Arabidopsis thaliana: one gene and its partners. The protein of the gene in region 2 interacts with the protein of the main gene of each other region in a pairwise test. Each region holds a gene or a part of one and is shown on either strand. Other genes may lie near its edges. The genes, in order: AT5G16220, SUB and QKY.

The links.
Region 1: the proteins of SUB (region 2) and AT5G16220 interact in a two-hybrid assay, tested with the Arabidopsis thaliana proteins (one study listed by BioGRID).
Region 3: the proteins of SUB (region 2) and QKY interact in a two-hybrid assay, tested with the Arabidopsis thaliana proteins (2 studies listed by BioGRID, with this or other methods).

Annotation. Positions count from the first base shown.
Region 1 is NC_003076.8:5,296,239-5,303,296, reverse strand, and holds AT5G16220 (Octicosapeptide/Phox/Bem1p family protein), read left to right. Parts: upstream 1-2,654; 5' UTR 2,655-2,717; coding exon 2,718-3,535; intron 3,536-4,080; coding exon 4,081-4,693; 3' UTR 4,694-5,185; downstream 5,186-7,058. Other genes in the region: AT5G16210 (HEAT repeat-containing protein), read left to right, coding at 5,518-5,716, 6,235-6,387, 6,789-6,967. UniProt on the Arabidopsis thaliana protein: Collaboratively with SUB and QKY, regulates cell growth anisotropy during gynoecium development, thus linking together cell-cell communication and cellular growth.
Region 2 is NC_003070.9:3,719,210-3,728,842, forward strand, and holds SUB (Leucine-rich repeat protein kinase family protein), read left to right. Parts: upstream 1-3,498; 5' UTR 3,499-3,925; coding exon 3,926-4,016; intron 4,017-4,359; exon of another isoform or gene 4,360-4,393; coding exon 4,394-4,523; intron 4,524-4,620; coding exon 4,621-4,692; intron 4,693-4,857; coding exon 4,858-4,923; intron 4,924-5,014; coding exon 5,015-5,086; intron 5,087-5,169; coding exon 5,170-5,241; intron 5,242-5,320; coding exon 5,321-5,392; intron 5,393-5,466; coding exon 5,467-5,532; intron 5,533-5,629; coding exon 5,630-5,695; intron 5,696-5,778; coding exon 5,779-6,272; intron 6,273-6,368; coding exon 6,369-6,727; intron 6,728-6,817; coding exon 6,818-7,089; intron 7,090-7,162; coding exon 7,163-7,301; intron 7,302-7,384; coding exon 7,385-7,500; intron 7,501-7,636; coding exon 7,637-7,793; intron 7,794-7,906; coding exon 7,907-7,969; 3' UTR 7,970-8,241; downstream 8,242-9,633. Other genes in the region: AT1G11125 (uncharacterized protein), read left to right, coding at 1-434; AT1G11145 (hypothetical protein (DUF674)), read right to left, coding at 8,323-8,427, 8,503-8,835, 8,907-8,957. UniProt on the Arabidopsis thaliana protein: Regulates the expression of transcription factors that define the cell fates.
Region 3 is NC_003070.9:28,072,192-28,080,695, reverse strand, and holds QKY (C2 calcium/lipid-binding plant phosphoribosyltransferase family protein), read right to left. Parts: upstream 5,770-8,504; 5' UTR 5,524-5,769; coding exon 2,278-5,523; 3' UTR 1,865-2,277; downstream 1-1,864. Other genes in the region: CPK30 (calcium-dependent protein kinase 30), read left to right, coding at 1-219, 324-497; AT1G74730 (transmembrane protein, putative (DUF1118)), read right to left, coding at 865-1,308, 1,549-1,701; EDS16 (ADC synthase superfamily protein), read right to left, coding at 6,734-7,039, 7,167-7,264, 7,356-7,440, 7,533-7,643, 7,740-7,797, 7,884-8,002, 8,115-8,183, 8,266-8,340 and 1 more. UniProt on the Arabidopsis thaliana protein: May be involved in Ca 2(+)-dependent signaling and membrane trafficking. Plays a role in fruit dehiscence. Components of the machinery involved in organ development mediated by the receptor-like kinase STRUBBELIG (SUB).

The DNA of each region.
Region 1 (7,058 bases), on a different chromosome or scaffold from region 2:
ATGTCTCTATATATATACAAGAAGAGTTGACTTGAGTTGGAGTGTTCTCTCCTCTCATTGATTATTTACGTCTGTGATTAATTATACTAATCCCTTAAGCTAACCATGGACATTTGTTAAGTTTTAGGTTATTTGTCATTAATTCGTTTTTTTTTTTGAACGATTCATCTAATATTCCGAATTATTACTCCCGTAGAAAAAGCCATTTATCTATGGAGAAATAGATAACTCCCGCATAAAAAGCTAGTTGTCTGTGGAAAAAATATGTACTTACACAACATTTGTTGTTTTTTTTTTTTGGTAAGGTACACAACATTTGTTGTTTGTTAAAGAGTACGTGTACTTGAACAACATTAATTATAAATCTCCGTGTAATAAATACATGAAAAACCTCCCCTTATTATCAATTTACCATTATCGGTATTTACGAGTTAAAGGTAGTCATTTAATTAATCAGTCGTGATTCTAAAATACAAACCTTCTTGGGCGTTTCCAAATTGTTGTTGTGTTACTTTTTAAAGAAAGTATATTTCTTAGAATATCTCATTAATTATATGCGGATTTTAATCCAATTCACGATGTTTAAGTCTTATTGATTTTAAGTAATATCTTCATTGGCTGTCAAGTCAAAAATTCTATGAGAATTTTCAAAAAATAACTAAAATGATGGTGAGTACTATTCAAGAAAAAAGAAAGAAATGTACATATAAAACGAAAGACCATGGAAATCTGTTCAGAGTTAGAAAATAAGACTTTTTCAAAAAGAAAGAAATAAGACAACAAAATTGGAGACGTAAATACTAATTAGTTATTTTCCTTCACAAGAATCGCAATGTTATAAAGTAAACAGAATAGGATAGATCCTAATTACTCATAAACAGCAAAGGAATAAAGTCACGGTCGATCACCAAATATCAAAACTAATCAACGTTATTGACCGCTATATAGTATATATCTCTCAAATTTCGTCACTTGATATTATTTCTTCTATTCTACTAAGAACCAACTAGGTAATACTATCACAAGATTTCTTGCACTTGAAAATCGAATCGGGAGAGAAAGGTATTTTAGATTAATTTCCATGACATTCTGTTATCTTAAACACTATTGATCATGTTAACATAAAAACAATTTTGGTCTTCTTTTTAGGTAACTGATGATTTTTAGTGTTACGTTAATTATGATTCTCTGACGTACGTTATATTATCTTTGGTCCTCTAACGTATAAGCGTTACATATTTTTTCTTTTCTTTTTCCAACTATACTTTAACCAGAAACCTACTCCAATCCAATCAAGACTTCAAGAGGGTATGTGTCTACGAAAGAAATTTCAAAAGAAATAAGTATATTAGTATAGAAAACGCTAAAGTGAAAGTATCTGAAACGTTTACTGAAGAAAAATTCGAATCTTTGGTTTCCAATATTGTGATGAATCTTTTAATCATAGGTTTTGAAAACTAGTTTGGAATTTGTCAAAATATACTGGTTATAGAAAAAACGTTGAAGTATACAATATTGCTTTTATCTTCCCATACGTAACTTCTGTTTCCGGGATCATAATGAAAATTATGAAGAAAAAAAAATCATGAGTATCCTAAACGTGCATAAGCTAAATGAATTCCGCAATATGATTTTTACAATTAAACTTTTGTTATTTTTTTCAATTAGCTTTGTTTGGGTAAAAAGTAACTAAGTAAGTATTAATGTTTATTTTCATTATAAAAACAGTAACTCAGAGATTTGAACATACAGTTTCGTCGGTTTTGGGGCATAAAACACAAATAAAAAGAAGCTTGGTTTTGATCTTACTTCGGTAAATGTATTTATGGATGATACCTCAAATCGATCCACGTTATATAGAATGAGCCAAACGAGTATCTTATTAACCAAATTTGTTTTTTTTTTCTCATATCAGCAAACGGCATTATTACGATTTACGAGTGTTGATTTTATTAACCAAACCGAACCAAACAAACTTAATTTCATCCAACACGAACCCAACTCAGCACAGACCGTTCGCTTTTAAGCTTTTGTTCAATCCAAACCGAATCAATATTCTAACCTGTTCATTTAGACAACTAATTAAATAAATATGATAATCTCTAATTAGTAAGTTAGTGAGAAAGAAGAAGTTAGTATTGATACTTTAGTATCATTTTTTTTTATTGTTATTATAAATATTAAATTTAGTACCACTAACCCTGAAAAAATTCATGAGATTTCTATTTCTGAATAATTTAGTTTTTACATCTTCTTATCACTCGCAAATTTCTAATCGAATTCTTACCGTAACACCTAAACCGAATATAACCGAAATAAATATAAAGTCCACCTCAAATCAGCACTATATATCAAACCAAAATTGTATCAAATCTATAATACACTAAAGAAACAACAATGATTGAACTAATTAACATTTCTCGACACTGAAGAAACTAAAAAATCGAATAAAGCAGAATTACTCTACCGGGTTAAACCCGGTCTGGATTATCATTCACCCGACCCGGTTCTAAACCCGTTTTAAAAGTAACGCGCTCGGGAATATCAGTACATGGGCCCAAATTACTATGCTGATACATTCAGTTAATGATAACGTTACCGTCACAGTAAAGCTAAACAACTTCGATTCGATTAAAAAAAAACTCGCCGCTTATAAACGGCGTCTGCCCAAAAAAGTAGGAAACTCAGAAGTAAAAAAAAACCAAAATCGCACCTCCATGACCACCGTCTCCTCCGCTTTCGCCACCGTAGCGGAAGGCGCGAAGGTTGTCACACCGAGATGGAAGAAGAATGAAAGAAATGGAAAGTTACGGGTGATGTGTAGGTATGGCGGTAGTATAGTTTCACCTCCGCAGACGAAATCGCCGCGTTATGTAGGCGGAGATACTCGAATCGTCGCCATTCCTTCTTCCGCGGAAACGAGCTTCGCTTCTCTTGTTAGCCACCTTACGGTTACGCTCAAAATCTCTTATCCTTTCAAAGTTAAATATCAGCTTCCTGATCAGGAACTAGATTCGCTTATCTCCGTCGAGGCGGATGAGGATGTTCAGATCATGATGGAAGAACACGGTTATCTCTCCTCCGAGTCCTCGATTCCCCAATCGCGTATCCGATTGTTTCTTTTCCCATTGAAATCACAACAATCGAATGAAGCTGGTGCGAGTCAGGGAGATTCGGATCAGTGTAAAGTGGAGACCGATATCGATTGGCTTGGAATCGAAGAGTCTAATAAGCCTATTCGTGAAGAATTGACTCAGCCGGTACTTCAGCACCCTAAGACGGAGATGTGGTTCGTAGACGCTTTGAAGAGCGTGGAGATGATGCAGACTAGACGAACTAATAGCGGAACTAGCGGAAGTGGAGATGGTAACGGCGGGATTTGTGGACAGGAGTCGATGATGCTAGAGACTAATTCATCCTTTGGCTCGACATCATCCTCGGTTTCGTCGAGCAATTTACCTCCGATAAAAAGCTCCGGCGAGGACAACATAGCGAACTCGCAAGTCAAATTTGCGCCAATAGAATCAGTGACAAGGTATTCTTCTATGCTCTTAACTGTTTGATTTCACCATTTGATTGCTTTATCGAATAGTTTTAGGTGTAAGCGTTCTAAAACTTATGTACACAATTTGTTGTCTAGGAAATGCAATGTGCTATGAGTTTTTGAATTGTTTAGCCAGTGACACAAATGAATTTGGTAGTGTTGCAGAACGAGTTTAAATGTGGTAATATATAAGCTATCTCTTGAAGTAATGATTGGAAACAGAAACTGAATTCTTGGAATGATCCTGTAGTCGAATTAGGTTCTCGTCTTCATGTATATGATCTGTGAATGAGTTCATAGGCTTAGGCAATCAGGAGTTTGTCTCGTTTGCCATTGTGTTATGGTAATTCTCAATTCGGATCAATGTGCTCCGAGTCTCGGGGATATGTTGTTCCTCATTTGGTATTCAGCTACGAATGTAATCTTCGAATTATATGTATTGGTAGAGAAGGTGCCAATCCTCTAAACCTTGTTTAGTTGGAAAGCCTTTTTGTAACTGTTAACCATTTTTCCTTTTGTTCTTACTCTACGAACAGCAACGACAATTCTGCAGTCACCCCAATACCTTCCCACGAGCTACCATCACACTCACATGCTTTTGAGAACAAACCGTCTTCAAACTTGTATGTGGCTGAGCTAAACAGACCAGTTCCAGTCCCAATTTCCGGGTATCCACCATTTATGAACCAAGCTCAACAACAACATATCCAAGTCATTTACACTGGACAACCTTACATTACCGGAAACTCACCTATGACATTGCCTGCCACAGCATACCATCACACAAACCACGTCTATTATCAGCGTCCGCCACAACCATACCCAATCTATTACATTCCAGTCGAGCAGTACAGTTCGAGGCACGTTCAAGCACTGCCTGTGAAACCGAGCACCGTTTTAAACTATCACCAAGTTGATTCCCCGGTGGTCCGCACCAGCAGCCCTCTAGCGCCAGAGTTTTCCTCACAGGTTTATCCTCTATCCAAACCCGTTGATTCATCGGTACAGACATCAAGTGAAGCTACTCTTAATACTACTTCAAGAGATGCTTTCATCTATAATACCGATGTCGATGACGACAACGATATAGCTCATGCTCAAATTTACAAATCTCAGCCTCCAGCTCCCACATTACCGTCTCAGTATTAAACCATTATGGTAACCGAAGCTTTCAGTCAGGTACAGACACACTATGCTTGAGAGATCTAAGAATCCCATCCATTCTCATGTTGCTGCACTTTCAGGTATTTGGCTTTACAATTTTGTTTTGGTTCCCATACATATTATACAATATACATGCTTCTGCTTTTCGTCTCTTTCATTCAAGTGATCCTTGTTTCACCTTCTTTACTCACTCTTGTTGTAATAACACGAAGAAGTTTACGGTTTTTTCATCTTTCTAGAAACATTTTATAAAGAAATTTATGATATTGGAGTACTATTTTTGTTGTCCTTGTGATTGGTGAGAATTCATTGATGTCATAAGATGAACATATTTTGATGATTGTATTGGTTAATCTGCGGAATAATTATGCTTATCTTATATGTTTTACCAGCAATCGCCCAATTAGCAAAAAGACTAAACACTTTTGTAAGTTTAAAATTTTCTTATTTTTGCAAGGAAAAGTTGACTTTTCTCTCTCAATATGGCCTAAGCAAACACGTGACACAAACGACGTTGCCATAATCTTGTGATGTGAACCGTACACGTGTCTTATAGCTTACTGTTTACACAATCTGGTTCAACTAATCCACGATGTACCATTACATTGTCGCACGTGATCTCTACCGTCACTCGCTTCCGGAGAGATTCATCGGCGAGAACACCGACACGATCTGGTGAATCGAATCCGATCGAATCGAGAGAGGAAAAGTTTGAATTTTCATTTGGAATGCTCAGTGATATTGGAACGAAGGAGGTGTTTCCTCTGATTGGATTTTAGTGTTCCCGTGAAAGAAGAAGAAAACAAAACATGGACGCGGAGCGATCGTCGTTGTGCAACTTTTTCGTCAACTTCCTGATGGAGGAGAACTACCTCTTGACGGCGTTTGAGCTTCTTCACGAGCTCCTCGACGATGGCCGCGATGCCCAAGCAATTCGTCTTAAGGAGTTCTTTTCCGATCCTTCCCGTTTCCCTCCTGATCAGATTTCTCGGTATAATTCAATTCGAGGTTCGCCAATTTTCCGCATTCTGCCTCACATTGTTATTTTGTTTGCTACCGAAATTGTCAGCTAAATCGTCCCTCTCAGTGTGGTTGAGCTGCGTTACATTTTAGTGATCTTTTTGGGGATCTGTTGTATGATGTGAATAAATTAGCTATCTTATTTGGTCTTTCTTAATTCAGAAAGCAGTTGAATAGTGTTCAGGTTGGATCATGGACATGTTTTAAAAGTTATGAAAAGCACAGTAGTTCATAAAATGATGGAGAATCCTGAAAATGGTGGAGTCATGTTTTTGTTCTTCATGCATTTGATGTTCTTCTCATAGTCTAAGTTTGAAAAGCAATCATAATTGAAGGTTTCTTGAATGGTGATTGTTCAGCTTGTTAAATGGGGTATACTATTATGACCAAGAACAAACCCATGTCGGATCTTGTGTCGCATTCTGAGGTTTTTGATTCTATAGTGTCAGGCTTTCTTAGACAACTTGGTTTGTAGCGTAGCTAGTAATTGTTACCCTACAATGCAGTTGCGGATCCACAAAGTTTGTTGGAGGAGAAAGAAGCTTTAGCTGAGAAGTTAGCTATCAGCGAATATGAATTTCGTCTAGCTCAGGAGGATATTGCAAGATTGAAAACTGAAGGACAGAAGAAATCTGTTCCTTCGATTGACAAGTCAGAAGGTAATCCATTACTGAAATATTTATTCTGATCTTTAGCGTCTCGTAGTTAATCTTCTACTTAGATAAACGTGTATATATAAACACTCAGTTCGGGTTTTGTGGCATGAAGTCGGTTATTAGGGTTTCAGAAACTTCAGTGATGATCTTAGTCTGAAGTGCAGACTCTTCAATGTATTAGAATTTTTCTCTGCAATAAGTAGTTGTTAGTCTAAGTTTCCAGTTCCTGTACGCCAGCCATCTCCTCTTTTCTTTCATTTTTCTCCATGGAGATATTTTCTGCTTAGGTATGAAAGCATCATTTATAATGCATATGAGTTTTATTCTTTGTTATTTTCATCAGTGCCAGCATGGTAGCAACCTAATCACCAAACTATGTCCTGATAGTGTTTGTTATTTCTCAGAGATGGATTCGGATGAGTTTGGAGGCAACAGGCCAGAGATTCAACGGAAAAAGAAAGATTTTTCCTTCACTGATATAGGGCCTTTGAAGAACAATGAACGTCAAGACTTAAACTGTGCAGTGAAAGAATATCTTCTTCTAGCAGGTTATAGGCTTACGGCTATGACATTTTATGAGGAGGTATCTTAATTTTATGTCTATATGTTTACCGTTTTTTGTGCATAGTTTACAATAGTTTATTTTTGATCTTCTGTTTTTCTTGTCTGATTGG
Region 2 (9,633 bases):
AATCTCATGTAGTGAGACAGAGATCTCCGGCGAAATCTCGGAACCGGGTCATGGTTAGTTATCCAAACCGGAGAACCGATATGTCTCCACGTAAGAGAAACAACGAAGAAGAAGCTGGCTCGGTGAGGCTGGTTCCGTCGGCTACGGGTACGAGAGACTCGACTGAAAGATCCGAGAGAAGGTCTAGATCGCCGGCGATGAACAGGTCCGTCATGATGGGCCCAACTCGGAGTCAACAGAGTACAGACAGTTGTGGAGCAATGAGGAGACAAAGCCAGTCTCCGGGTCGGGTCAGACTCAATCCGAATATGAACGGGTCGGATCAAGAGTGTAATCATCACAAGTGGCCGGGTTCTATTGGAAATTACAATTCTGCCCCTAACGACTCGTTTGAGAACCCTCTTGTTTCATTAGAGTGTTTCATCTTCCTATGAGATAATGTATCTTATTACCGAATTATCGCCGGAATTTACAATTTCGAAGTTATTTGATCTTAATCAGTTTTCACATGCTTCGCCAGTTCAGAATCTGTTTGGTTGTGGATTTTGAAAAATACTAAAATGTTTTTCTGTTTTTGATTATAAAAAATGAGAAATTAAATTGTATGATGTGTGAGTAGGGTGGCAAAAGATTTGCTTCCGTGACACCAATTATTATATATTTTCTGACAGTCAAAATCAGACGCAAGCAAAGTCACGTAACTTTGACCCCAAAAAGAAAGTTACCATCATACACTAAATTCAATTCACTATGATCGTCCGAACCAACAAATTTCAAATAATGTATCATGAATATTTGAGTCTTCATCTTTTATACTCAAATAGGCTAAACTTATTAGTAATTTATTTATTGTATTATCGTCTAGAACTAATCCACGATTTGAATATGCTGTGTGACTTATAAAATCAAAGAAAATACTTAGTTAACATAAGTGTATTGGTTTAGTTTTTTCCTATATTAATAAACCAATACTCTTCTTTATTTCAATCAAAATGTAGTTCTTTTTTTTTTTTTACATCAAAATGTAGTTCATTTATAATTGGTTTAAGACTTGATTCATAGTGTAAAAACAAAATAGTTATTTAGTTTTACATGAACCATTAGTAGGTTCTAGTTTGTGTATAAAATAGTTTATTTGTTCTACAGCCTTACTTAACTATCTTAGTTTATATTCAATCGTGTAAAACAAAACTGGGATCCTTCCTTTTTGGTTACCATAGGTATGGAAGTAAAAGTATTTAGGTGTTGTTTAAAAAGTACAAAAATTCGATTTTGTGGTTTGTCTATTAGTAAATCATTCAAACGTTTTTTCTTTTTTTTTGATAGCAATTTTATTATTATTCTTTTTACTTTTATAGGCTCATCTTTTGGAGAGAGCATTGTAAAGATTATGCTTTTCTTAACGCTTTCTTGTTTGTCCTTTTGCACCCCACATCACACGTTAACTAATTTATTGGATGAATGTTGAATAATTTCCGCCGAGAGAAAAAAAAACAGGCTTCAATAGTTCTGTATCATACTTCAAACTAATTTAGAAAGTTTGAGTGTATCATACTTGTGTATATTGGAAAATGAAAATGGAACGAGACAATTCAATAGTTCTGATCAATTTAATATTTTCAAAACGATCAAGTGCATAACAGCAAATTGTATCCAAGTATCGTCTAACAAATTCTTTTAAGTTCTTTTTTTGACTTTTCATAATCTATAGAACTTTTTCTTTGAAGCTTCTTGATGTAAAATGGTAGGGCGGAAAAAGCTAGGGTGATGTAAAACCAAAACTTGAACCAAAATTCGTGTAGATACGTAACTAGATTTGATTTAAATAAATAAAACATTCGTTATGTGCCTTGGATCCTCTGGCTAACGGGTGACCATAAAGTAGTGTTGCATTCTTTAATTTTGTTTCGCCTTTTGCGTAATGAGAGACCATATTATAAAATAAAGCCTAACTTTACAATATCTGTATTTTTTCCTCGACACTCTTTTTTAAGAGACCAATAGTTTGAATTCATTATCATGCATCTTCCAATCTCATAACTAATTTGGTATGCATGTATAAGTGCTACAATCATTATTATATGGGGTTTCTGATTTTTTGAAGTACAAGAATCAAAATGAATCCAACCTGATTGGTGTAGTTTTGGGTCGAGTTCGGTCGAAACAAAAATTTGATTCGGTATTATTTATTTGATTTTGGTTCGGTTTATTATGGTTGGCACTTGGCATATTGGTTTTGAAAAAAAAAAATGTTATCATGTACGATTTTTTTTGGGTGCAAAAAAGCATCATGTACGATAGTTTTCTACTTTTCTTCAAAGATTGAAAGTAACCGTTGCAATCTCATTGCATTATTAGGCCTACGAGAGGTATCTTCTTTCAAGTGGGCTTTACCATTACACTATTGACCAAGTTTGGGCCACATTTGGTTTGAATAGCCCATAAGAATGTGGTTTTTTTTTTTTAACTAGTCGCAACTTATTATCGTGTATGGTGTGAACTTGATTGATTTTGACAAGCCAAAAAAATCGATTGATAATTAATTGATCTCGACAAAATAAAAATCTAATATCAACACATAAGCTCACCAAGCATGTTTTATTCTTTATTGATCATACAATGTATGTTTGCTGTTATTATTCGGGTTGCAAATAATTTATGTGAATATCAGAACTTCAGAAGTAACTCCTACCAAAAAAGGAACTTGAGAAGTAATCACATATGAATATCGAAGTTACTCTCATCTCAAATTATGCAATGATGGCATTCCATTAAATTACTACTATTGAATTGTACACAAATCCTCCATCACATCAACCAACAAACAAAGAATAATACAAATTAAGAATATATTCCAAAGAAATTGATAAATAGTGATTGTTAGTTGTAACTGTAAACACAAAACCAGAATTCTTAATTATTAATAGAAAAACAAAGGTTTCGAATGGTAACCAAAATGCACCGTGCAATCATACATATAACATTAGTTAGTTATTTTTAGAATATATTGAAAAGATAATTATTGTATAATTACTAAGTATATTCAATTTAAAGTCGTAAGAAAAAACCCTTTATTGGCTCTAATTGTTTAAAAACATATATTAGGATTCACTAAGATGTATAATTGAAATCAATTTCCAAACCATGTAAAAGTACTAGTTTTCTCAAATAGTTTGTTGCTATTAGTTTGTTACTAAAACTAATTCACACATTTTTATCACCAAAAGAGCAAAAATGGACGTGGGATGAATATGATGATATTTTTTTTGACCTTGTTGTAGGGTCTCTCACTCTCTTCTTCCATTAAAGAATTCTCAGAGCTTTTCTTACTTCAACTGTTTTCTTGGCCCATCTCACTGAAATAAGTGTGATAAACTCTGCCTGTTACATTATTTGGATTTTAATAGGTGAAGTAACGGAATATGTAATCTACATCAAAATAATATTCACTTCTATCTCTCTACCTTATGGCATTAGAAAAATCCAATTATTACATGAAAGGAAACTATAGTAATTAGATGAAGCATAGAAGCGACAATTAAAAGACATAAAGAGAGACAAGTCTTGGCAAGTTTTCTCTGTTTCACACTTTGGAGACGAAACCTTAAAGGCTTAAAACTGAGAAAAACAAAGCCGTTGGCTTTTGTAAGCCGCTCGTTCTTCGAGACAAAACACACTACACTCTTTCTCTCTCACTCACTCTTCATCTCTTTTCTTCTTTCTCTCTCTCCTAAAAATCCGACGAAATTATGATTCACTTTACCTTTTAATCAGGAATATCCCTGTTTCACCCTTCTTCTTCTTCTTCTTCTTCTTCTTCCTCGTGTTTTTTTTCCATAACATTCCCTCTGAATCTTCGTTTTTTATTGGAAAGAAACAATCTAATCCAAGTTCAAGGGTTTTCTCATCTTCAGTGGCTGAAGTTATGAGCTTTACAAGATGGGAAGTGTTCTTTGGTCTCTCTGTTTTAGCCTTGACAATGCCTTTCTCAGCTGGAGTTACTAATCTACGAGATGGTAATAATCTTTCTCTGCAAAGTTTTTTTTATTTGGATTTTGCTTTGACTCTCCTTCTTTTGGTTTAGTGAACACTCTAGATTTTTTTTAGACTTGTGTCTAGTGAAAATGACTTACATCAGTTTTAGGGTAAACTAGGTAAGCAATATAGCTGTTTGGGAAGCTCCAGATTGGCAAAGTTCTATGATTTTGAGGCTACCTCAAAAACCCTAAAAAGTTTAGGTTTTTGACACATAAGCTCTTGTTAGGGTTTTAGTTCAAGACCAAGAAATTTGTTCTTATTGTTCTTCATTAAATGGTTATCATAAGAAAGATTCTTTAATCTCTAGAAATTTTACTTTTTGATGTGTTTGTCTGTTGTTTAATAACTTCTGCAGTTTCGGCGATTAATAACTTGTATATCACTTTGGGAGCACCATCTCTACATCATTGGCTTGCTTTTGGAGGAGACCCTTGTGGAGAAAAGTGGCAAGGTGTGGTGTGTGACTCCTCAAACATCACAGAAATGTATACTTCCTCTTCTGCTCTTGTAACTCTTTGTTATGGTTTGCTTTGAGTCACCAATTCAGGTTCTAACCACGTGAATTATTGTTGTTGGCTGCAGAAGGATACCTGGCATGAAGGTAGGTGGAGGCTTAAGTGATACTCTGGCTGATTTTTCATCTATCCAAGTCATGTAAGCAAAGCTTCTTGTCTTGTTTTCTTTCATCTTCATCTTTTGTATGAGGCTTCTTGCTATGTGAAGAACATGCAAGATGTTGTTACCATTGACTATAAGGTTTGGTTATAATCTTGAATTGCTTTGTGATACTTTTTCTCTCTTCTTTGTTTGAGTGGACAGGGACTTCAGTAGCAATCATATTTCAGGGACAATTCCGCAGGCTTTGCCTTCTTCCATCCGAAACCTGTGCGTTTGAGAATTGACTATGTGTATGGCAATACTTATGTTTCCAACAGTTAAAAGACACTTCATGTTTGGTTTCATTTTCTTGTTTCAGATCTCTCTCAAGCAATCGCTTCACTGGGAACATTCCCTTTACATTGTCCTTTCTATCCGATTTGTCTGAACTGTAAGTCTTTATTAATGTAGATACCGTTTCTTGCATCTGCGGTTTTTCCTCTGTTTGAAGCAGACTCTTTCTTTTCCCTTCAGGTCATTGGGAAGCAATCTTCTATCAGGAGAGATACCAGATTACTTTCAGCAGCTATCAAAACTGACAAAACTGTATATTTCCTCCTCACTAAGTCTCATTTTGTATCCTCCCATCAGCGTCTTTCATTTATACATTAAGTTTCTAATGCAGGGACTTATCGTCTAACATACTGGAGGGGCATTTACCTTCTTCCATGGGAGACTTAGCTTCTCTTAAGATATTGTAAGTGCACATATATGAAACCGTATACAAACATTGTTATCATTGCTTTTATATGTGATGTGGTCGGACTGTAGGTATTTGCAGGACAACAAGCTCACAGGAACACTTGATGTTATAGAGGATCTTTTCTTAACCGATTTGTAATCGTTTTTCACCTTGCATACTCTTTGTTCTTGACTCTCCAACCATTAAGCCAACTTCAGTATCTCACTATGGCTTTTCATATTTTTGATTCAGGAATGTAGAAAACAACTTATTCTCGGGACCTATACCGCCAAATCTATTGAAAATTCCAAACTTCAAGTAAGTATTACTAAAAGAAAACTTGAATGTTTTTTTTTTCCTTTTCTTTAGCCATTCATGTTACATTGTCATTATAACCGCAGAAAAGATGGAACTCCGTTCAATACATCGATTATAACACCACCGCCTCCGCCTGTGGTTGATCCTCCTCCCGCTACTCACCGTGCTCCTCCTGTTCCCCGTATCCCTCCTGTTTCTGGTGTTCCCCCAGCACCTTTTGCTCCTTTTGCTCCACTGCAACCACAACAACATCCACCACCATCACCACCTCTGGTCTGGTCACCACCTTCTTCTGATAATGGAGGAGGAGATCCCTGGAACTCTGTGTCAGGGCAACCTACCTTGCAAATATCACCTCCTTCAGGTTCAGGATCAGGAAAATTCTGGTCCACTCAAAGAATCATTCTAGTAGTTTCTTCAGTGGCCATAATTGTTCTTGTATCCGGTTTGTGTGTTACACTTTGGAGATGTTGCAGAAGTAAAATATATAACCGATATTACAGTGGAGCTCGTAAAGATTTACAACGACCATACTTCAATAAGCCTCCATCTCAACCAACCCCCACTATGGGAAAAGGTACACTGATTCTTTTCCTTCCAAGAAAAGAAAAGAAACTTGTGCTTTGGCTCATTACCTAACGGCAAACTGCTGTGGTGTTTTCTTTTGTTGCAGTTTCTCGGGAGCCTATGGTTAAGCCTTTCGATGGATATGGAGCTGGAGACAGGAAATATGGGTATCCAATGCCACAGCGGGCTGAAGAGAGCCGGAGAGCAATGCCTCCTACTTCATATTATAATAAGGATGTTAATACACCTCAAAAGCCGCTGCAACAACCACCGAGGCAGTTCCAGTCCAATGATACTGCTTCAAAGAGAGCGGCTCATTTCCCCCCGGGCTTGAATTCCTCATCTTCTGCTACTGTTTTCACCATTGCTTCACTTCAGCAATACACAAATAATTTCTCAGAAGAGAATATAATCGGGGAAGGGTCGATTGGTAATGTCTACAGAGCTGAGCTTCGTCATGGAAAGGTGTGACACTTTCCTCTTATTTGTCATTTGGTCTTACAGTATTTTATGCTGTGCATTCTTATTTACGTCTTGACACGTTGTGATCTATAGTTTCTTGCGGTGAAGAAGCTGAGCAATACCATCAACAGAACACAGAGTGACGGCGAATTCCTCAATCTAGTCTCCAATGTGTTGAAGCTTAAACGCGGTCATATATTGGAGCTTCTTGGTTACTGTAACGAGTTTGGTCAAAGGTTACTTGTGTATGAGTACTGTCCTAATGGATCACTTCAAGATGCACTACATTTGGATCGCAAGTTGCACAAGAAGCTCACTTGGAATGTACGTATAAATATTGCATTAGGAGCTTCAAAGGCATTGCAGTAAGTTAAAGAACCTCAACATGTTACGCCAATCTATATTTGGAACATATAGGATCTTAGAGTTTGGTTTCAGGTTTCTTCATGAGGTATGTCAACCGCCGGTTGTTCACCAGAATTTCAAGTCTTCCAAGGTTCTTCTTGATGGAAAGCTCTCAGTACGTGTTGCAGACAGCGGTTTGGCTTATATGTTACCACCACGCCCAACGAGTCAGGTAAATTTGTCATCTTATTTTGAAGATCCCAAACATAAGAGTGAGTGTTGTAAAGGATATGATGTTTGCTTATAAAATTGTAGATGGCGGGTTATGCCGCTCCTGAGGTTGAGTATGGAAGCTACACTTGTCAGAGCGACGTATTTAGCCTTGGGGTTGTAATGTTAGAACTGCTCACTGGACGCAGACCATTTGACAGGTTAGCTACTCTAAAGAGACAACTAATAGAAGCCATAAAAGAGTCTGAACTCAAAAGTCAACATGTTCACTTATGTTTCTTATGCAAAATCACTGTACTACACTATCTCAAGACAAAACCCTGTTTTTTTTTGCAGGACAAGGCCGAGGGGACATCAAACACTAGCTCAGTGGGCGATTCCTCGGCTTCATGACATCGATGCGTTGACAAGAATGGTTGATCCGTCATTACACGGAGCGTATCCAATGAAATCATTGTCACGTTTTGCAGATATCATATCACGTTCACTGCAGGTAAACTTAACTTCATTCATCACTTAACTAGATGAGAAAGCAATGTCAAACACGTGACATCAGAATATTAACTAACCCTTTTGACTTCTGTGCATGCTTATCTTTGTCTGTAGATGGAACCAGGATTTAGACCGCCGATATCAGAAATAGTCCAAGATCTTCAACATATGATCTAAGATACACAACCTTGGACTAAGACGCAGAAGCAATAGTTTATTGTCAGATTCTTGTTCTTTGTCCTTTGATGAATGAAAGTATTTCTTTTGTATTATAATAACACTTTATGTATGTTGTTGGCTGTATGAAATGAGCTATGGGATCATCATTATGTAACCCCAATCCCATTACCGGCTCAAACATTATTCACCAACCTGATCATGTATTTAGATTCTATTTTCTGAAAAGGATAAACATTTTTTGAATCAAAAGACATTAAAATTCAAGAACAAAAGGTTGTACTTAACAGTAGTGTAAAAGAGAAGGTAACTTGTTCAACTAGCACTGTAGACAACAAAACCTAAACTTCAAATCAATCTGCTCCACAGAGGGCATGTGATTGATGCTTTAGAGTCGTTTCTCTGAAAGAAAGCTCCCGAAAGCCGTAGTCAAGGCAGTGGATGTCACGAATGAGGCTCTTAGTAAACCTATGGCCTGGATTAGTGTCAGATTCAAAAAAAAATATCAGGAAAGAATAGTAATATAGATATACATGTGTTTTGCCAATGTTGATTTCATGCTCAAAAATATCGTCCAAGTTCACATCAAACTTCTTCTTTACGCAAATAGTAAGATCATCTGAGACAATGTATGTTGCCCCTCTCTTAACTAACCCATTGCTACCATGAGGTGTCGACTGAGAACTACCGTCACTGTTTAAATAACTGACCCCAAGCAACGGTTTCTGCAAACTATATTGCCAAGGAAGCATACATGTGTTAGTAGATGCATCTGTGCCTCCCCTAGAGCTCAAGTCCTTCAAGCTTCTACAAAAGTTGCCAATGCATACTAGGTCGATATTGCTTCCAGTGATTTCCCATACAGACTCCAAAGGGATAGCAAGGAAAATGAAAAGTAGATCCACAAAAAGTCGTGTCCGCTTTCAGCGTCAAGAACCTTCATGTCCTGCTTCCTAGCAAACAGAGTGAGTCCCTGCTTCACCTCCATCTTGCGCGGGTAGCTTTGGCATGTCATGCCAACGTGTCATACCACAAGAGCTATGCTTCTTCATCATCATCAAATTGTGGAATCTCTGATCTATTTATGCCATTACGTTTTCGCACTCTCCGATCTATTTATGAAATTTTTGAATCCAGGTTCTATCTCTGCTTCATTGCTTGCTCTCTTCGGAAACTCCTTTCACTGATGTCTTTTTGAAATTGGGCCATCTAATTTTTTTGCATATAGGATGATCACTACTTGCCATAATTGCTCAAATGGCTATAGAAAATGTAAATTCTTACTGATGGAAAAATATAAACGAGAATTAAATGAGGGATCTAGAGAATTATGGGGGTGTTAAAATAGCAAATCTAATATTATTTAATTATAAATTTTAAAAGGTCTAATAAAATCTAATAAAATCTAGTGTTATTGAAAGCTTGAAAATCTACTCAAAATTTTCATGTCCTTGAAAACTTAAGGATTAGATTTTTAATGATTGTAAGAGATTTTTAAATCTTATGGCTTTAGGTGGCATTGTGGTTTTGAATGGTTTCCTTAAATCCACCCAAAATCATAAAAACATAGAAAAACTCAATTTACCTCAAATCACTCAAAATATAAGATTGAATACACCCCCTTAAATGCTTGATTTTGTTCCTTTTATCCCTTTGAGATATAA
Region 3 (8,504 bases), about 24 Mb from region 2:
GGAAATGGATGCTTGGACTATGGAGAGTTTGTAGCAGTGATAATTCACTTGCAGAAGATGGAGAATGATGAGCATTTCAGACAAGCTTTTATGTTCTTTGACAAAGATGGAAGTGGATACATCGAATCAGAAGAACTACGTGAAGCTTTAACCGACGAGTTAGGTGAACCAGACAACAGTGTTATAATCGATATAATGCGTGAAGTCGACACTGACAAGGTTTTTCTAAAGCTCTATACATCAGCTCCTTTCTCGCTATAAAGACTCTTCCTATAGAAAGTTTATTAAATACTTAAGAGGAGTCATAATGTTTGATTTTGCAGGACGGAAAAATAAACTATGATGAGTTTGTGGTGATGATGAAAGCTGGAACTGATTGGAGAAAGGCATCAAGACAATACTCAAGAGAGAGGTTTAAAAGCTTAAGCTTAAACTTGATGAAAGACGGGTCAATGCATCTACACGACGCACTCACTGGACAATCTATTGCAGTTTGATCTTTACACTTGTTTATCACCAAAACAGAAGCAATCTGATGGCTGCTTTTCTTACACGTTCATGAAGGGTTTTTTTCTGGGCTTTTTTCAGATGTGATTTTGGCTTACTTCACTTTGTTTCTAGAGATTCTTTTTTTTGGTTTTGGGGAAGTTGGAAATTTGTAATTTGTGGGCGTAGTTAGGCTTTTCACTGGAGAATGAATGAATGTGTATGTAATATTTGTTTAATTATTATAAAGCTTCTTTCTATCACTCAGCTTATGTCTTGGACTAACCATAAACAACTGAACCATACAGCTATAAATCAGCAACTGACAAAAATCAATTGGACAAGACATGGGTTTATGTTCGGTTTACAGAGAAAGAATCAGTCAGCTTCTTGAAGTCCATCCAAAACAACAGAACCAACCAACAAAACAACCCCTGTAAGCGCAAGAGCACCGGCCAAAACCGCCTGAGCAACCACTAGAGTAGTTGAGTCATCCGGGATCAACACCACGGCTACAATAGCAGCCGTGAGAGCTGGTAATGCAGCCGAGGCTAAGACCGCAGGCGATGTTCCAGCTAAGTTCTCAAGGAGACTGAGAAGACCAAGGTCCTCTGCTTTGGAGAAGACTTTAAGCTTCTCAAGAGATGACAATGTGAGTCCCAACCCCTCTGCTTTTGACAGCAGGCCAGATTTCTCAACGTTGCTCAACACTTTTCGCTTCTCCAGCTTCTTGAAAACATCAACGTTTATTTGCTCACTCCCTTCGAAAAACAATCCAGCTCCGTACCATTGTTTCTTCCACTTGGCATCATATTTGTTCACCTTTTGTTACCCGATTCAGTGATCACAATTACACAAATTAAAAAGTATATATAAAACTCTGCAACAATACTATATACAGAGACTTCAATGTCTTTGTTCCATTACTAAAATGTACTGCTTATTCATGTTTCTAAAGATTATCTTGAGAATCAAAAAAGATTTATACTTTATGAAGTGATTGATGAAAGTGCAAAAGATCTCAGAACTTAAACAAAGGAGATGATTAAGAGAGTTAGTTACCTTTTTCTGGGGAGCCATAGCTACGACGGAGAAAGTTGCTGGTGATTTTCCGGTGGAGAAAGACCGGCGAAAGCGGGGGAGAATGGGATTGGAGAGAAATTGTGTCTGCAGCTGAGCCGCCGGAGACGATATTGGAGCGCCGACGACAGCCATTGAAGAAAAATCGAAGCGAAGCGATGAAAATGATTTCTTTAGAGATTCTTTCGTGTCTTGTTTCGCCGTTGGCACACTATCTGAAACTCTGATAGACAGAGAAACTGCCACGTCAGATGATGTCTTTGTGATTTCAACCAATCATTTTCGTTAGCGCTTTATCTCCGGTTTTTCACTTAGAATTTATATAATCAGACAATGTTTACATGTAATAGTTTAGGCGTAAACAAAATAAGTTAAATGAGGAATTAGTAAATCATTTTAGATTACAGAGAAAACTACAGAGATACCAAAAGCAAATCTGTGGTCAAAAAACTTTACTGACAAGTTTTGCTTCCTTTTTCACCTCTCAAATCTGAAATCTCTCTCGTTTCCTTCAAAATATTACAGGTCTCAAAGCTCATGCCATCTGATTATAGTTTCCGACAGAATCTGAATAATAAAATGAAGAATCATAATAATATGATAAAATTCTTAACCCATAATGAATCTTTTTATTCTATTTCCTCCTCAGCCCAAGAAACTGTTGGATACTCAAAAACACCTAACATTTACTATCTTGACATCTTTCTCTCCTTAGATGAGTCGATCGGACAAGCTTGGCAACCGCCGGAAAAAATTGAGACTAGCCGTAGGCATTGTGTCTCGGAACATCGGATGCCGAAGATAATAAAACCCTAGAGCCACCGCCACCATTTTCGCAGGAACTGCATACAGAACTATTGTGATTACCAAACAGATTGCTATGAACAGCTTTGTCGCTCTCGGATCTCTCCAGCTAACCAACGCTTGAATCCGTTCTCCTTGCGCTGCAAAATCTCCTAGAATGGTCTGAACCCTCACTGCTAAGATCCTTAATCGGTCGTACCTAGCTCGGATTACTTCTGGTCGCCTTGAGCTTGGTATGGTGTCGAATTCTTCATCTAGCTCATCAGGATCGACGGTTTCAGCTTGTGATAAGCGGATATCCATACCAGCCGGTATCTTGGGTCTAAACCGGTAGTACCAAACTCCGATCATCACCACGTACAAGAATGCAGTCGGGACTACCAAATCAGGGTACCAAACAAGAACCAGATATAGAATATGGACTAGCACCGTCGTCACTGGATTCCTCCACCGCCTGATATTATCCAACCACTTAGCTAAACCCACTGCCCAAGCTAAAACACCAACAATTCTGTACCAATTCGCTTTGCTTTTCCTCATGCTCCATGCATGCGAATCTGCATCTAACATATATCGAACTACCTCTGGTCCCAATGGTGGTTCTGCTCGAGCCAGCCAAGCTGCTACCATTTTCGTGGCGGCCCCTCTTAATGCATCTTGTTGTGCTACACCTAGAGGCCTTATGTAGTGCATCCGAGGCAGAAGCGGCTGTCCATAAGCTGCACAAACATCAGGCAGCAGAGACGGGCATGCAAACCGGACTGCCACTTCAATTTCACCCATTTTTTTCATACCGCTAGGTAACAAAACCAACAGAGGATATGAATTGGTGTACACTTTGTTGCTCTCTAACGTCGACACCCGGATCCGTATCTTCCCAATCCGTGTGTCAGGTCTATCATCGGAGGCGTCAGAGAACATCCTCCAATTGTCGAAGACTCCAACAGTTAGCACGGTGCAAGGATCATAAACCTGCCACGTATACTGCTCGTGCCACCTCGGGTCAAAACTGTCTGTTATGGTTCGAGTCCTGACCCATTTCTTCCCGTACTTAGCAACACAATAAGCATCAGTGGAACCTTTCCCTCCGTTTTTCGCCTTCATCGGCAACAACCCACGAGCTCCAAGAATCCCCAACTCAAGTATTCCAATCGGCGGTTTCCATAGCTGCTTAGCCGTCGGACGGAAATCGCTGCATACATGCGCCGCCTCTTCAAGCACATGATACCCACCTTCGAGACAAAGTCTAAGGCTAATCCTTCCACAATAAGGTCCACCACCACCACCACCTCCAGGTCCTCCTCCTCCACCTCCACCTCCACCTTCTCCTTCCAGAGTGTGCCATTTCGACGGCACAAAACGCTCATCAATTCGCTGCTCGATGGAGCTCACTGGGATCATGGCATGTCCTAGAAGTGTTGCTTCTTTAGTCGTCCGGTCTTCCACCATCAGAACCAAGCAATCTTCCAACGGCTCTCCAGCAACAAAGATCATATCCTCATGCCAATGAAACGAACCACTGTGGTTATTCATTGAGCCTCTTCTTGTACGCGCCGACTGAAACCCTAATTGAGCTTTCACACGAATCTCAGGCGCAGTCAACGGCGGGAGATTAGGAGCTATGTGTAAATCCTGTGCCTCAAGAACCGTCACTCTCAAGTACCAAAGTTTCGGCGATTGATACACCTTAGAACGCGTGTGAGCTACATGCGGAGCATCAGAGCTCCAAGCCTCCGGAAATGCCTCATCTACCTGAGTACCAATCCAAACAGAGAGCTGAATGTCACCGGAAATTCTCCCAGAGTTCTGATCCGCGCCGGAGCCTTCGAGCCGATACCACTGAGGAGCAAGCGGACTATCCGGCGGGTCACGAACCGGAACCTCAGAGAGATCAAAACAAACTCCTCCGAGAAAACTCTCCGACGAAGCATCCCAAGCAGAGATCTCAAGAGTCGCACCAGTTACAGCGGAATCAGACCGGTTATGACCAAGAGCAAAAACCTGATTCCACTCCGGTGAATCAACCGATTCGCCGGGCCGGTTAACGGCCGGTTTAGACCTGACGAAATGGTTCGACGTCCGTACCTTAACATACGCGCTCTCGTTAGGTGGTAAGCCACGCGCCTTCACAATCCGAACGAAGAGATACTGCATTGGCTCAACAAGATTGTAAGGATGATGAGTCTTCTTCTCCATCGTCGTCTCTCCTCCTCCAGTTTTGCTATTGATAACCCTAGGTGAATAATCTCCATTCGGTGGTCTCTTCGTAACCCTAATTCTATCTCCGCCGGGAGGTCTTCCTACTTGCATCTTCCTCACTTCCGGTGGATAATAATGTACTTCCCCAGCCGATGGAGGTGGCGGCGGAGACGGTGGCCGTTGAGGATGGTTATCATTTCGGTGAGGATGGTTATCATTTGGACCTTGCATTACATGCTGCGGTGGTGATTCTTCAACAATAACCACCGGAGGTTGCTGATGTGTCTCTGTATAGCGCTGACTCTGAGCCGATTCGAAAACCCTACCTTCTTCAACCACAACTACATTAGGTTTCTCCGGTGGTATATTCATCATCTGCTGCGGCGGAGGATGAAATTGTTGCTGGTGTTGTTGTTCATCGGCTTCTTGTTGCGGCGGATGAAATTGTTGCTGTTGCTGTTGTTGTTGCTGTCCTCCACCTCCACCCGCCGTGTCTTCGTCGGCGGCTTCGTCGTAATAGTAGATTTTGAGTCCAATCTCGCCGCGAATCCAGCTGAACACACTCTTCTTCTCCAAAGGGAAATACACAAGACCTTCTTCACCTCTTCGCGAGAACTGGCTTCCATAGATCTTAACCCTACCGAGAAAATGATTCTTCCGGCCACCTCCGTTACCAAATCTTTTATCGTTATAAACCTCGATATCGAGCTCGTCGTAATCCATGTTTTTGGGATCGGAGACGGCGAAATCAAGCATCTCGTTCCAAATAGGGTTTAGGTCACGGAACTTAGTGGAGGTTCGTTTCTTCTGAGCATCGAAATCGACAACGACGTAAGCGCTAGAGCTTCCTTGACCATCTTTAGGGAGAATATTACGAGCTTCAACAACTTCGACAACGAGCTTACGCTGGATCCTCGACGGCGGAGGATCCGAGTGAAACGGCGTCGTGTTCATCGTAGTGGTAGTCTTCTCATTTCTCGAGAATGTCTTCTTCTCTCATTAAGATAGTGAGAGAGAGAAGGTTTTGTTGTTTGTGACAGAGATTACGGTAATCGCGGAAGAGAGATAATAGAAAGTTTTTTTTTCGAGGTCTTGCTTTTTTTATTTGAATATATTCCTCTTTAAAGCTTTATTTTATTTACATGTTTTTAGTACTAATGAAATCTTAATTTCCATTAATAAACTAAAAACAAATCCTATGTACTATACACTATTTATTCATTTCATTAGTTTTAATTAAAACTTACTAAATATTAGCTAAAACTGTTTCTGACACGAGTGTAGATAATTAGGTTCATATTTGTGTAGTTTGTGACAAAGTAAATCTAGGTAAAACGTAATGAGGCCAAAGCATTGTGATTAGTAAAATAAAAGAGATGAAATGGGTTGGTTAATTAGAGTGTTAAATATGATTAATAAACCTAATTGAGGTGGAGGGTAAAAAGGGAAAGGAATATATGGTGTTAGAGTGGGGATAATGGGAAATCTGATTCCATTCTCTATCGCCAAGCCTTCGTTTGATTCTTCACTTTTTACATGCGCTCCATTTTTTTAATTGTACTATCTCATTTTATTTGTGTTTTTGTTGACGTGTTGATTCTTCATTTTATAATATGGTACTTTTCAATGTTCCTATAAACCACCACACATGAAAAGATATGGCGAGTAAGGTTGTTGGATGGTATTTATAGTTATATAATAACAAAGTAGTTTCTTAATCTAACGAAAGAAGATGATCTGAAACGCTAACTTATAAAGGAATATTAATATTTACCATTTGCATAAAAGCAGATTCCGTAAACCTGTCCTACACGGCTACATCATCGTTGAAAGGCCCAAGCATTCTACGGATTTTTGCTTAATCGAGATAATAAGCATAGATTACTTCACTCTGAAGATGGGTCACTTCTTGCTAAATGAAAATTGAAAAAATAAATTCAATTTGATTCGATTGTCATGTCAGTTAAATTCAGTTCAGTTTTAGATCCATATTGAATATATCTGTCTTTGAAGAAAAACACTATAGAAGCTCATTAACAATCATAACAGCTAGGCCTATGAACATTCATGATAGGCCTGCCCTAGTTACAACCCGAAAAGGCTCGGCCCATTAACAAATTAAAGCATTTCTTTTTTAATTTACAAGAGAGACAACATTGCTTTCTTATTGTGAGAACCCCTTATCCCCCATACAAACAAAACAATCAAATACAAATGTTACTCTTTCTTCAATTAATCGCCTGTAGAGATGTTGTTGCTTCATATTCAATTGACTTGGTGAACTGCAAAAACAACAACAAAAGAGAGAATAAAAATTAGGATTTTGGTAACAGAGAACCATGATGTCACTAAACATTTTCTGGACAAAAGCTCGTACCTGAGATATCTTAAGATCAAGCTCATTCCACTCTGAAGATGGGTCACTTCCAGCTACTATCCCTGTCCCCGCATAGATCAATGCCCCAAGACCCTGTAAATCAAAATACAGTTCAGCATTTTTTTACAAGTTGTAGCAAAAACCGTAATGATCGATTTTGCTATAACAATTAGTGTTAAAGTGTGTTTTTTAAAGGGAGAAAGAGATCAAATAAGCTCACCTTTTCGACTAGAGCTGATCTGATCCCGACTGCAAATTCACTCTCCTCGCCACCAAAAAATCCAATAGGTCCCGCATACATTCCTCTATCGAATGATTCTAGAAGAAGCAAAATGTTTGAGTCAGCATAATTCTTAATCTCTACATCTATAGTTACTAGAAGATAGTTGAACCAAGGTAGATATTTTACCTATCTCCTTAATCAAAAGCCTTGCTTCTTCTGCTGGAAGCCCACAAACAGCTGGAGTTGGATGCAGAGCAGCCAATATTTTATACTATAGACAGATAGAAAGAAAAAGGGTTAAAGCTAATTCGAAGAAATGAAGAGCTTGGAAATGTAAAAACTATTCCAATACTATTATCTCACCTCATCATCTTCCTTCGTAAGTCTCCCTGCCAATTGAGAATATAGATGTTGCACTCTTGCAAGCTTCCTCACAGTTTTTTGAGGCTTGACAACAACTCTGTCACATATACCCTGCAAAGCAGAAGAAAGCATAATAAGAAAAAATATACCAAACTATTATCCAAGAAATGAAGCATTGAAGCTGCAGAGCATCAAGATTGAACTTACGTTTAACTTTTCTCTTATATTCTCTCGTACGATAGAGAACTCGAGGTCGTCTTTCGGACTGCAACAGTTTAGCAAAAATTCAGTAAAATGATAATGGAGAACTGGATTCTGTAATTGTTCAAAGCACTTGAAGTAAAAATTGACCTGGTTAGTAAGTCACGCTCTATCTCCATATCACGAGCACTAGAAGCAGCTCTAGGCCTAGTTGCAGCCAAAGCTTCACTGCAGACACCTAATTGAGTCCTTTGGAATAGTCTCTCAGGCTGTTTCACAAAGATGTATGTCACAAACATATTTCTTAGAAATAAATAACAAATGTGCACATATCTTTATCAACAGAACTTATTATCACAGACTACATATAAAAAGACCTACCGTGTTTCCGATAAAAGCTGGTGCACCAGGTGGTTGAAGACAGAACTGATATGCATCATGCCCTTCACGCTGTCACACAAAAAAATTAGTGAGATATAAATCTAAACATTGAAAACTGACTACTATATAATATCCAGAGATAAAAACACACCTGTAACTGTGCTAGCCAAGCAATGGGATCAATGTCGGTATCCGTAATTATCCTGCTGTTACGAGCAAGAACAACCTAATTCCACGAGCCAAAAACATCAGTTAAAACGAAACCTATAAACTTGTTTTAAGAATAGATACGAACACAATCTCTAAAGTCTAAACTACCTTGTTAAGGGGTGAACTTTTCTGGTTAATCATCTCTAAAGCCTTCTCTACAGCAGGGAAATAAGCTCCTTT